2 linked regions of the Sus scrofa genome follow. The protein of the gene in region 2 interacts with the protein of the main gene of each other region in a pairwise test. Links are inferred from orthologs where the notes say so. Each region holds a gene or a part of one and is shown on either strand. Other genes may lie near its edges.

Evidence for each region.
Region 1: the proteins of ZNF24 (region 2) and CCDC130 interact in binary tests that used the Homo sapiens proteins (3 or more experiments, as listed by UniProt). The two-hybrid records come from large-scale screens. The link is inferred for Sus scrofa from reciprocal best matches to the Homo sapiens genes ZNF24 and YJU2B.

Annotation. Positions count from the first base shown.
Region 1 is NC_010444.4:65,368,278-65,375,283, forward strand, and holds the start of CCDC130 (coiled-coil domain-containing protein 130), read right to left. Parts: upstream 3,844-7,006; 5' UTR 3,782-3,843; intron 3,066-3,781; exon of another isoform or gene 3,022-3,065; intron 1,145-3,021; exon of another isoform or gene 888-1,144; 5' UTR 774-887; coding exon 771-773; intron 1-770. UniProt on the Homo sapiens protein: May be involved in mRNA splicing.
Region 2 is NC_010448.4:119,162,520-119,169,439, reverse strand, and holds the start of ZNF24 (zinc finger protein 24), read left to right. Parts: upstream 1-2,235; 5' UTR 2,236-2,327; intron 2,328-4,185; exon of another isoform or gene 4,186-4,190; 5' UTR 4,191-4,273; coding exon 4,274-4,693; intron 4,694-4,933; coding exon 4,934-5,081; intron 5,082-6,920. UniProt on the Homo sapiens protein: Transcription factor required for myelination of differentiated oligodendrocytes. Required for the conversion of oligodendrocytes from the premyelinating to the myelinating state.

The sequences.
Region 1 (7,006 bases), on a different chromosome or scaffold from region 2:
GGCTAGGGGGATTGAATTGGAGCTGCAGCTGCCAGCCTGCGCCACGGCCACAGTGGATTTGAGCCTCGTCTGTGACCTGTGCCACAGCTTGTGGCAATGCCAGATCCTTAACCCACTCAGCAGGGGCAGGGATCAAACCTGCATCTTCATGGATACTAGTCATGTTCTTAACTCTCTGAGCCATAATAGGAACTCCCCAATCATACACTTTATTTAAAAAAAATATATATATATTTTTTGTTTTGCTTTTTAGGGCCTCACCTGCAGCACATGGAAGTTCCCAGGCTAGGGGTTGAATCGGAGCTACAGCTGCTGGCCTATGCCACAGCCACAGCAACATGGGATCTGAGCTGTGTCTGTGACCTACACCCCAGCTCATGGCAATGCCAGATCCTTAATCCACTGAGCAAGGCCAGGGATCAAATCCGCATCCTCATGGACACTAGCTGGGTTTGTTACCGTTAAACCACAACGGGAACTCCCCCAATCATATACTTTAATTTGTTAATTTTATGTTAGGTGAATTTCACGTCATTTTTTAAAGAAAGAAAGAAAGGGAAAAGCAACAGCTCCCTGGGTGATTTTCAGCAGAGTTTGAGACCCACTGTACTAAAAGAACAGGATCCGGAGTTGGAAAATACCTTAGAGCTTGGAGTTGGGGGAAGGATGGAGAGTAGACTTTCAGGAGGTAGAAGGAGCTGCTCTGGGGACCTCTGCCCTTCACCTAAAGACCACAAGAGAAACCCGATGGGCACAGCCTGTCTACTCACCATCCTGGGAACTGCCTACTTGCTCCTTGCCTTCGACACGGCCAATGTGAAAAGACGATGTGACACTGATGGTGCAGTGTTGATCCTGGAGGGCCTGGCAGGTGGTCCACAGCTTCCCTGTGAAGATGGGGTGGGCTGTGTGTGGTGGTGGAGGCTTGGCGCACCCTCCCCCCAGGCGTAGGAGGCACCCAAGGAGCAGCGTTTGGAAAGGGAGTGTCCTGTCCACCAACATATATTTCCCAGCTGACACTTCACGCCCCTCCAAGGCCGCCATCATTACTCTCCTGGACTGGTATGGGTCATCTCCTCCCTGGGCTCTTGGCTCTGCCCTTGACTCTCAAGGTCTGGTCTTCTCATAGGGTCCGGAAGGATCTCTTAATATAAATCAGAAATATCAGCTCCTGCTTAAAGCCCTCCAGTGATTCCTATGGTTTTGAGAATCAAACCAAATCCTTCCCATGGTCTGTGGGGCCCCTGCTTGCCTCTCCAAGCCCACCTCTTACCCCTCTCCCTCGTTCACTCTGTTCCAGTCATGCTGACTTACTGGCTACCTTCAAAGGCTCAGCAGGTGCAGGCCCACTACCTCAGAATTGTCTCAGCTCAAACATCACCTTTATGAGAAGCTTCAACTGACCAACTGATCTGAAGTCATATCACCCTGTCTTCTTACTTGTCTGTAGTCTATAGACTGTGACCAGACAGATAAGCCCTCCACCAGGTCACACTGCTTCATCTCCGGCACCCAAGACATCTCCTAATAAATGCTGTCTTCAAGAACCACTGCTAACTGACTGAGGTTCCCTAAGAATCAGTGTGGGTGACACAGTTACCAAGTGCAGGCCTCCTTTAACTGGGGGTGGGGAGACATCCACCCTCCCTGCCCATTTGGAGGGGAGACTTTCAGGTCAAATAAAAAGAAGTTCAATTGACACTAAAGAAAGACACTGAGGGACTCAAGTGTATTCCAGAATAGGGATTGGCACATATTCTCCATCAAGGGCCAGAATATCTGTTCCAACGACTCAACTCTGGTCATAGCTAGAAAATAGCCATGGATGATATGCAAATGAATGGGTGTGGCCACATCCCCACAAAAACTATGGACACTGAAATTTGAATTTTACATGATTGTCACAAAATATTACTCTCTTTTTGATTTTTTTTTTTTTTTTTTTTTTTGGCTTTCCAGGGCTGCACTTGTGGCACATGGAGGTTCCCAGACTAGGGGTCAAATTAGAGCAGCTGCAGCTGCTGGCCTACACCACAGTCACAGCAACACCAGATCCAGGCCACATCTTCGACATACACTATGACTCATGGTAGTGCTGAATGAGGCCAGATGGAAGCTGCATCCTCCTGGATACTAGTTGGGTTCGTAACCCACTGAGCCATAATGGGAACTCCTTTATTTTTTTCCCCAACCATAACAAGTTAAAACCATTCTTTGGTGGGAGGCTGCACAAAATCAGGCAGTGTCCTGACTTTGGCCTGTGGGTATAGTTTGCTGCCTAATGCACTGGAGTCAGGAAGTATCTACTTGTTTCTGCCAATTCAGCTGTGGGCTCTCTAACAGTTTCTGTGGGACACATGCTGCACTGAGTCTGACATCACTGCCTTGTTTACTCTGTATTATGTTACTATTTTCTCCAGTTGATGAATGAGGATGTGGGAGCTTGCCCAGAGTCAGAAGCTGATGGGAAACCAGCGAGCGCCAGGGTGCAAAGCCCCGGTTATAAAGTGTTCCACCATCCCCTGGAAACTCTCTCCACCTTGGACCCTCTATCTGGAAAGTGTGCCCCTGTACCAGATTTTCCTAAAGTCACTCCCAAACTGAAAATGCATTTTTTTTTTTTTTTTTTGTCTTTTTTAGGGCCTCACCCATGGCATATGGGAGTTCCCAGGCTAGGGGTCAAATTGGAGCTGCATCTGGTGGCCAATGCTATAGTTACAGCAACTTGGCATCAGAGCCATGTCTGTGACGTACACCACAGCTCACGGCAATGCCAGGTCCTTTAGCCCACCAAGCAAGGGCAAGGATCAAACCTGTGTCTTCATGGATACTAATCAGGATTGTTACTGCTGAGCCATGATGGCAACTCCACAAACTAAAACTGTTTTTGCCAACAAAAGAGCTAAGTGCCCACCCAGGTTCTGGGGGCACAATTCCCTGGGCTTAAATCCCAGCTCCACTCCTCACTGGCTGGGTAACCTCAGCCCAAGTCTGAGCCTCCCTGAGCTTGTATTTCCTCACCTGCAAAGAGGGATAACAGCAAGAGGACTGACTTTCTGGAGTTGCTGTAAATGAAATAACAACGGGTAGTGATTGCACAGATAAGTTCTCCATTTCAGGAGTTTTCGATGGTTTTATTACCCCAGCGAGTGGTACAAGTGGGACCATTGCCTGGATGTATAGAAATCTCTGGTCCTTGGTGAAAGAATAAGCCCAATAAGCCCATTGGCTCAGGGCATAGTGTTTGGGCTTGGATGCTGACTCTGCTGCTTGCTAGGGGCTTAACTTGGGGCAAACTGCTTCTCTCTCTCTGAGCCTCAGTTTTCTCATTTGCAAAATGGGGTTTATAAAAATATCAACTTGATAAGGCTGCCGTCAAGACTCAGTAAGTTAAATAAAGTACTTAAAAGAGCTCCTCACGCCAAATTAAACGTTGGTAGTTTTGATTATTTCTCACACCAAATCGTTTAACAAGCATCATTTTACAAAATCTTCATCATGGCCCAGGGAGGTAGGGGCTTACTGTCCCATTTTCCCGATGAGGAAAACCTGACTAGGTATAATACGGGCCAGGCTCGGATTTGGGTCTGGGGTCGCGGCCAGGGCCCAGGGTCAGGGGTCGAGTCTGGGACGCGGGCCGGTTTCGAGTACTGGGTCCACGTTCGCAGAGCCCCTCTGCTCCCCGCAGGATGGCCCCAACTCCGCTGCTCCGAGACCGAATGAAAGGACAGACCCCCGGCCCTTACCGGGCCTGCCCGCCCCTCCGTCCTACCGCACTTACCTGCCCTCCTCCTGACGTCACGCCGCGCCCGTCCCGGAAGTCCCTGCTCAGTGCATAAGGGGGAGTGGTGAACTCCTCGCGCGACAGGGACGCCTGCGCGAGGCGGGGCGAGGCGGCAGGTCCTCGCTGATTGGCTAAGTGTTGAACAGCCTCTCCCTTTCAGCCGCCGGAGTGGACCAATCCGGGGCCTGCCCTTCCCAAATTCGCGCCCTACACGAAGCCCCACCTTCGGCCCCGCCCACTTTCCCTGACGCAATCCAAGGCCCGCCTTTCTGACAGCGCTCTCCCGGGCGCGCGGTTCGCAATAGAAGAGGCGGTGGAGTTGGAGTGGGTGAACTCCAGCTTCCCTCTAAATCAATCCAGCCCTTAGTTTTTTTTTTTTTTTTTTTTTTTTTTTTTTTTTTTTGTCTTTTTGCTATTTCTTTGGGGCCGCTCCCACGGCATATGGAAGTTCCCAGGCTAGGGGTCGAATCGGAGCTGTAGCCACCGGCCTGCGCCAGAGCCACAGCAACGCGGGATCCGAGCCGCGTCTGCAACCTACACCACAGCTCACGGCAATGCCAGATCCTTAACCCACCCAGCAAGGGCAGGGACCGAACCCGCAACCTCATGGTTCCTAGTCGGATTCGTTAACCACTGCGCCACGACGGGAACTCCTGGCCCTTAGTTTTTTAGTGACTAGCGAGTTAAGACTTGTTTTCCCATTTTTAAATGGTTTGGGGGAAAACGAAAAGAATAACATGAGTTTGTGAAAATGATAAGTTCAAATTTTAGTGCCTGTATTAAGATTTTATTGAAATACACCTGTGCCAATTGTTTATGTCTATGGCTGCTTTTCCACTCAATGACAGAGTTGAATGGTTGCAACAGAGAGCCTATGTCCCATGGAGCCTAAAAATATACTATCTGTCCTTTTTCAGAAGTGGATCACCTCTTGCCTTAGAGCCTTCAGACCAGCTTGGTTGTGAACAGGGCAGTGGCTTTTGATTCTGTGCTTTGTAGAATCAAACAGAATCTGTTTCATCATTTGTTCTTCAACAGCTGTTTACTAGGTGCCTGCTATATGTTAGGCCACAGAAATTCAAGAGCAAAGGATATACTCTTTTTTTCACTGATGAGGCAGGCGGTGAACTGGCAATTTATCAAGGACAGTGTGAGAAATGATGACAATACTACTACTGTTGTTACTATTACTATATTATTCGGTGCCAGGCCCTAATAAGATTGTCAGTTCTCCTGTAATCATGGTGCTGCATATGGAGTGCTCACTACTCACCAGGCGTCATTAACCAGTGCTCACTACTCACATGCATTGTCTCACAGAACGCTGTTCCTAGGAGAAGGATATACTCCAGCATTCCATTTTACTGATGAGATAGGCTCAGAGAGGTCAAGCAAATGATCCAAGGTCACACAGCTATTGAGAGTGGAGGATTTGACCTCCATCCACTGATGCAAAACTTTGTTCCCGTAACATCTGATCTACGCTGCTTTGGGTTGTATGCATTAAACATAAGGGCTGTGGGAACCAGGAAGAATCTTTTTTTTTTTTTGGTCTTTTCTAGGGCCACTCCCACAGCATATGGAGGTTCCCAGGTTAGGGGTCTAATCAGAGCTGTTGCCGCCAGGCTACACCAGAGCCACAGCAACGCGGGATCCGAGCCGCATCTGCAACCTACACCACAGCTCACGGCAACACCAGATCTTTAACCCACTGAGAAAGTCCAGGGATCGAACCCGTAACCACTGTGCCACAATGGGAACTCCTTTTTTTTTTTTTTTTTTTTTGGTAAGAATCTTTAACAAGGGTGGTGTTTTGGGGAGTGGTCAAGGAGTGAGGGTCAGCAAGACCCTTGTGAGGGGTGACTCTTGGGCTGGATGAGGCAGAGCAAGGCAGGGGTGGGAGGCAAGCCAGAGGAATGCCCACAGGTTCTGAGGAACAAGCTGGGATCTGCACTCACCCTCATTCATCTTGCTTGCTTCATCTGGGTTTTGCTCGAGTCCTTATCCTGCAACTGAAAGAAGAGCTAGTGACTGAAGAACTACAAAATACCACCTTGTGAGTAATGTTTTGGGGAGGAGAAGTCTGAGAACCCTTGGCTTTCAAGGGACAAGTAGTAAGAGCCTCACTCTTATTACTCACAGGGCAGGTGATGGGAACAAACATCAGCCTGAGCTATGAAGAGACCATCTATGAAGATGCCAAGAGCAAGCCAGTTCCTGTGGGGAATTAGCCAGGAGGGCAATGAACCAGGCTGGGCAGAGTGGCAGGAAGGGACCTGGACTCTATCTCTGGAGACACTGACCAAATCACCTCACCTCTGTTTGCTCATCTGTAAAGAGGGATATCTTTCTTTTGCCCATGGGAATGAAAACATGCCTACAAATGTATTTGTAAAACAGATGGAATGGGAAGAGAGAAACCTTGGGCCAGGAAGGGCGTTCCAAGATCATGGTGTGGCTTTTGGGGATAGGAGAAGAATGACTGAAGAGGAAGTAAACTCTAAAACTGAAACCCAGATGTCCCCAGGTGGCACAGTGGGTTAAGGATCTGGCATTCCTGCAGTTATGGCTGCAGGTTGCAACTGTGGCGTGGGTTCAGCCTCTGGCCTGGGAACGCTCACATGCTGCGAGTGTGGACTTCGAGAGCCACGGAGAATGGACCCCTCTTCCACATGCCAGCCCTCCAGCTCCCTCCCACCTCTAAGAGTCTGTGGTTTGATCCTACCTCTGTCTTCATTCCCCAATCACCGACCAGCTCAGAAAGCAGGCCCAATAAGTTACACATTTTATATTTAACCTGTGGCTGTGACCAAAACCATTTGGGGTACCTGCCTAGATCCCACCCCTCCCTTTGTGTGAAAATATCCAACCTCCAGGGGGCGCTGAAGCATTTGTATTTATGGCCCAACCTTGTCTGCAACTGATTGGATCTGGCTATAGATTTAACCCAAACCGGCCCAATGAGGTTTGCTCCTGGAAATTTAGAGTTGCGATCAAGACAGGCACGGGAATCTGCTTGAGGACCGATCTGAGGTCTTCGAACTTTGGGAGGCCATCTTTAGCCATGTGCAGAGAGAAGCAGAGATAAGCAACCATATGGTTAGAGAGTAGGGTGGGGGGTGGGGGGGTGAGAAACTTTCTTTATCCCTGAAGAACTTTCAGTACTTAAGTGCCTTGGTATACCCTTGTATCCCTATGATAAACTCTCCTTTTTGCCTAAGC
Region 2 (6,920 bases):
TTTTCAACCCGAGCTGTAAAACCCCTTGTTGCTGAGGTGCGAATGCCACTGCATCTAAGCCTTTATATAGTCTGCAGCTGGACTCCAGGCAGGTGAGGCAGAAAGCCTCATCACAACCTGGGGAAGCCAGGAGCAATGGTTCCACGACAGCCTCCTGGGAAGACAGGGAGCTGAGTGGCAAATGGCCTTGTAACAGCTCATCAGGAGCCTCTCCTCTTTCAGGAGGATCACAGGGTTTTCTGCCAAGACTCAGAGCAGCTGCTGCTCAAGCATTGTCTCTGTGGCCTCTGTGGATATGTGCAAGGTCAGCAGGCACTGGCACGGAGGTTTTCCCTACATTCAGGTTGCCCAGAGGAACATGATGCTCTATCTTGACTATATCTTTAAGATAGCAACAGAGGTCACCATTCAGGAAAGAGCTCACCTAGTAGGGCTCAGAAGGATGGTGTTTCAAAGTGGGTGTTGGCAGTCCCGGCCCTCAAACGAGCAAATTAGAGAGGAAAACTTCATGGTGGTTTCCATTTACTCTCTCAGAAAAAAATTAAAAGTGACAGAATGAACACCAGGCAAAGAGTTTCGTAAAATCTTGCATTTTTAACCTCCCCAGATATGTCTGTTTGATGTGTATATTTTTTGTTTTCCAACATTAATTAGATGTTAAAAAACCTCTTAAAGCAAAGCAAAACAAAAATGCCTTGAGCTAGCTTTTAGAGTCACAAAAGACGGAAAGGTTGGGAAGAGCAGCCAAGCAGGTTGGTGGTAGTAGCCAAGTAGAAAAGAGAAAAAAAAAAAAAGTCTGGATTTCAGAAACCTCCTAAAAAAGAAAGAGAAGAAGGGCCATCAGAAGTAGCAGGTGTTCTGGGGAGGCAAAATCCTGGTCAGAGAGTAAAGTAGTGCTATGGGATCATCAGCTGACTCACTTGCGCTCTCATTCATGAATTCAGCAGAGCCTAAGGGCACTTTGCAAAGGGCACTCTGAAAGAGGCAGAAAGCTGAAGCCTGAAGATCTTGGAAGGCTGCTGGAAGGCTGGACCTGTACTTCTAACATAGACCTTAAACAACAGGGCTCTTTTGTGTGGTTCCTGATGCTGAACATGTGACCTAGCAAAGGCAGCAATGTGACCAGCCCACATTTCATTCATTTATTCAACAAATATTTATTGAGTTCTCTATGTACCAGGCAGTCAGCATCCCGGGACTACATGGGAATACTGTGGTGAACAAGACAGGCAAGGTCCCTGCCCTTATGGGACTTACAAACAAAACGAAATAAAACAAAAACCAGTGAAATGAATACATAAGATCACTTCTACCCAGTGCTATGAGCGTGAGAAGGCTTCCAGGAGGAAGAAATGGTCAGGAAGGCTGACGATTGCCAGCCACAACAAGGCTAAGAGCTGGGGTGTGGGGGTAAGGTGGGGGCAGGGAAAAACCACAGGGGGCCTTACAGGCCAATGTAAGCAGTTTTTAATGTCATAATTAATGCAGTAGGGATCCACTGAAGGCCTTTAAGTAGGGGCATTAAGTGGTCTGATTTATGTTTTTAAATCACTTTGGCAGCTGTTTTGTAGTATGAAATGTCAAGCCTAAAGTCAGAAGATAACCATGCATTCTGCAAATTCACTCTGCGATCATTGCCAAAGCTCTTGATTAAGAGTCTCATCTTGTTTCCCTGACAAATTAATTAGTCATAATAAAGCTCTATAGCACAGCAAATGGTAGCCAAAGGTTAGAGTCATGCCTTGGCTTCAAATCTTGCTTCGTACTTACTAGTTATGTATTCTCCGCAAGCTATTTACTTGAGCCTCAATTACCTCAGCTGTGAAATGGGGATAATAAAAGTTCTTACATCATAGGGTTTTCACGAAAATTAAATTACAAGACATGTAAACCACGGTGACAGAACCTGGTACAACGTGGTTAGCACACATAAATATTAGCTTTTGTTACTTCTTTCAGAGGATTACTGTGAAGATCACATGAGATAATGCATGTGAAAAGACTTATGACACCGTAAAGACTACATTAGTGGCAGAATTTTTTCTTTCCTTTCCTGGTCTTTTAAGGGGAACACAGAAGACTGGGCTAACCAGGGGAGAGAGGCGTGAGGCCAAGCGCAGCCTCAAAGCGGTCATTGTAGTTGGACAGCCCTTCCCCCAGCCCGGAGCGCATCTCTATGGCAACGCGGGGCTTCGCCTACCCCCCGCCTCCTGGGGCCCACAGACCGGAAGCAGTCTGCGCCGGGGGCTTCTGGGAAACGGCTTGTGAGCGGCGGCGTTTCTGCGTCGGCCGTGGACAGCGAAGCGGTTGCAGTTCCCGAGCTTGAGGTTTGCGCGAGAGAGGGGGGAAGAGCGTGCGAGGGAGGCTGGGCTAGAGGCTGTGGTCCGCTTGGCAAGAGTTAGCGAAAAAGCTTGGCGGTGACCTTCCTTGGCTTCCCGGGAGGCGCGGGGGACAGGCCACGGTCTCAGCGCCCAGCAGCTGGGAGACAGGGAGGGATAGACAGAAAGCCAGATAGGGCTTTCGGCACCCTTGGAGAGTCCTCCCTTCCTTGTGCCTTCCGCGACCCCCGCCTTCCCCCCTCCCCCATCGGCCGGTTTTGTTCTATTTCGAGGCCCTGGCATCTCGCGGAGGGTTCTGGGATTCTTTTCGGGTGGAGGGGGGTGGGCGGTCCTCCGCCGTGGCTGCCGGGACTTGTAGTTTGGCCGGCCTCGAGCGGAAGTGCCGTGACTCCGGCGCTGTTGAGGCTAGGTGGCCTCTGGTCTTCCGAAAGCCGCAGCCGGGAGTGTGGAGAGAAGAGGGGCTGGAGTGGTCTGGTGGGGGCCGGGTTCGCCACGGCACTCCGCTGAGTGAGTGGGAAGGTCGCGTGGGACAGGACTCCCTGCGCAAACCTGGTTGGGACTGCGGGTTCGCATTCCCCGCACCTCCTCACGTCCCATCGGCAGGGTGCTGTATGAAAACGTAAAGGGGAGAGAAATTTTATTTTTCTAGAGTGTTTGAGCCAATGGTAAGGTAGGGTTTTGGAATAGGAACAAACGAATACTGTTGGCTAAACCTTGTTTATAAGGCCGCCACACTCCAGAGTGCTTAAACAAACCTGTATGTATATTACTTGGTAAGATTTTTTTCTGATACCTAGACTTGATAGGTTTACAGGAAGTTTTGGGCAGTTACTGACTTTCAGATTCCGGGCCCTGAATAGATAATATTGAGTAACTGCATGGCTTGTTCCCAGTAGGTGTTTTAAACAATGGCATAGGCATGACTGTGCAAATACTAAGGAAAGGATCAGAAATAGCCCAAGGTTTCCCTGAAGGTAGAAGCTGGGGAGATTGTGAGTCATCCAGTGTAAGGATTAGAGTCTGCGCCACTGTGGGAAGTCAAGGTGTTATGAGAGTCCCTTTTCTTCATAGAATTTGCTATGATTAATGCCCACATTACAAATTGAAAGGTACTTATGGTGTCTCGGGTGACTGAATAATATTTGAATTTTATGGCACCTAGTGGTTTTTTTCAACATCATGTATCTGTTATTGAGCAGGTGAATATTTTTTTCATGTATATTTTAGTCCAGGGAGTTCTTAAACATTTTAAAACTATTTCTTAGCCCTGAAAAAAAAAAATTGTCAAAATTTTTTAAGCAGGTGCTAAAAAAGATACCCCTCCTTTTGAGGTGACTCAGGTGTGTCAGGTTACACCGGTATTGAATTGCAAATAATGTGTTCCATTTAGATAACACCGAGATAGGCAAGTTTTGTAGACATAGATTGGCATACTTCTCTCAAAAGGGCCAGATGGTAAATATTAAGTTTTTCATGACATGTAGCATTTATTGCAACTACTCAACTCTATTGAGTAGAGTACAGTAGTCACGCTGTTGTAGCATCAATAGTGAACAAATAAGTAAAATTATTTATGGAGACAGACACTTTCATTTCTATCAATATTCACCTGACATGAAGTGTTCTTTTGATTTTTTTCAACCATATAAAAATGTGAAAACTATTCTCAGTGCAAGCATTATTGAAAAATAGGCAGTGGGCCAGATTTAGCAGTGAACTGGAACTTCTGTTGTAGGCTATTGATTGGCATGTTTAATTTAGTAAAAATACATTTTCTTTTCTTCTATCAGGGTATGTTCAGATTCTTAGGATATTTGGTCATTTATATTGTTTTCATTTCTTGTGCCTCAGGAGTGCCTGTGAAGAAAACAGGGTATTTCCCTGAGGCCTGTCTCCTACCTTGATTGTCTTTTCTTGGAGTATTATAAATCAGGATGTCTGCACAGTCAGTGGAAGAAGATTCAATACTTATCATCCCAACTCCAGATGAAGAGGAAAAAATTCTGAGGGTGAAGTTGGAGGAGGATCCTGATGGCGAAGAGGGGTCAAGTATCCCTTGGAACCACCTCCCTGACCCGGAGGTTTTCCGACAGCGCTTCAGGCAGTTTGGATACCAGGATTCACCTGGGCCCCGTGAAGCTGTGAGCCAGCTTCGAGAACTTTGCCGTCTATGGCTCAGGCCAGAGACACACACAAAAGAACAAATCTTGGAGCTGGTAGTACTGGAGCAGTTTGTTGCCATCCTGCCCAAGGAGCTACAGACTTGGGTTCGAGAGCATCATCCAGAGAATGGAGAGGAGGCAGTGACCGTTCTAGAGGATTTAGAGAGTGAGCTAGATGACCCTGGACAGCCGGTAAGCCCGCTTGTGTTGCATTCCTGGGTCAGGAGCCCTGACATGGCAGTAGGCGCAGCTGCTGATTTAATGCCACTCAGCTAAGTTAGAATTCTGTTTATGCCTCCACCTGCCCCCCATTATTTATGCTGCTTTGTCATCTAGGCCTCTGCAGCATATGTTTCGTGTGGTTGCTTTTGTGTGTGTGTTTTTGATTCTCAACAGATTCCTTCTCATTTGAACCAGTCCTGTTATTTCCAGGTTTCTCTTCGGCGACGAAAACGGGACGTGCTAGTAGAGGAGATTGTATCTCAAGAAGAAGCTCAGGGATTACCAAGTTCTGAGCTTGATGCTGTGGAAAACCAGCTCAAGTGGGCATCCTGGGAGCTCCACTCCTTAAGGCACTGTGGTGAGGACCTCCTTGTGGGCTGGAGGGTGAAAGGGAGTGGGGCCTTTGGTCCAGAACTCTGCTTATTCTTATGGGGATGGGAGGATAATCACCTTAACCTGATGGTTTAGACATAGACACACTATAGGACTGATTCTTTTCTAATAGCAGTTGGTTTTCTTACCTTAGTCTTTAATTCCTCAACATTAACATCATCATCAGCCTTTTTCTCTTCTCCCTGTTTCTTTGAAGACCCGCCCATTTCAGGCTAACATTTGCCTTACTCTGAGCCAGCACCCACCTGTAGACCAGATCTTTCCATTTTGCATGCAGTATTGCTTTTTTTTGCCGTCTGTTTCACATCCTTTCACTCTCCTGCCTAGTCCTCCTGATAACTTCTTCAAATCTAATTTTTTGGTTTGTTGTTTATCACTAAGGTTTTTTTCTGAATTTTTAGTTTTTGGGTTTTTTTCCCCCCAAATCCTATCTGGAGTCATTTTTTTTCCCCTAAGAAGCTTCTTTTGTAGAAATGATGCCTGGGTAGAATTCTTCACCTGTTCTAAATATTTAAACGAAAAATTGCCTTCCAGCTATAATATGCTTTAAGTACAGAAAAATTAAATAGAAAGGTCATAATTCGTCGAGGCTAGTCTTTCCCAATATCTTGGCAGTTAATGCCACATACTTATTTATTTTTGACACAACCCCATATATTCCTAAAACTGCTGGATTTCTTTTTCATAATTACATAAATTAAAATGAAATTTTGTTTGAGACTATTTGGGAATCATTCCCTGAGGAGACAATGCTAGCATGCCTCAGAGTGAGCTCTGAGTAGGCTCATCTCTGAGGGGCACAGTGCTTGGGAATCAGAACTTCTGAGGTGGGGCTGAAGTTTGCTGAGAATCTGCAGTTTTACATCTTCTATGGGACATTCTTCTGTGCAGTCTAGTTTAGGAATTGCTCTCCTTGGATGTTGGAGGTGGCATCTTCCTAGGTGGAAAACTTCTCCCCTGCCTGAACTTTAGAAAAATTCCCAGTTTCATTTATGGCTCATTTGGTGAAGAAGCCAACTAATATCCTCGAGGATGCAGGTTTGATCCCTGGCCTCACTCAGTGGATTAAGGATCCAGCGTTGCCTTGGCTGTGGTGTAGGCCGGCAGTTGCAGTTGTGGTTGTGATTTGATCCTTAGCCTGAGAATTTCCATATCTGCAGATGTGGCCATTTAAAATAATAGTAATAATAATTCCCACCTCTTTTTAAATAGCCTCGCTTTAGCTGTCTGGTCTCTACCACACTTGGGAGCTCAATTCTCTCTCTGAAGACCTCCATTCAAGGTCTTCAGACCTCACTAATTCCCTGTAACTCCTCATTGTCTCTCTCAGCCTTCTTTCCTGACTATCCCTTTCTCCCTCCCTCCCTTCCTCCCTTTCTTTTTTTTTGCCACCCTAAGCAGCATGCCGAAGTTCCTGGGCCCCTGATCATCCCTTTCCTAATCATTTATTATAGACTTGCTTACTGTTGACAACTTTTCTGAGCATTGCTGCTCACCCTTTAGTAACTGTTTATTCTTCAAAGCTTGAAGTTTCAGGAAAGTCATACCAGTGCCTGCCTACAGGTGGTGATGGTACCTCAGGGTGGTAATTTAGGCTGTTCTTTCACTGGACACAACTAGCTGAGGCTTAGAAGTAATAGTTCATCTTGAGTACATGACAAATACCAAATTTGGCAAGCTGCTTTTACAGGAAGACATTTGGTTATTAAAGGTGCATTGAATTTGTACCTGTCTTGTCCTGAATTAACATAGGATGCTCCCAGCTTACCTTCAGCTTCTTCTTGACAGGACCCTTCCTATATTC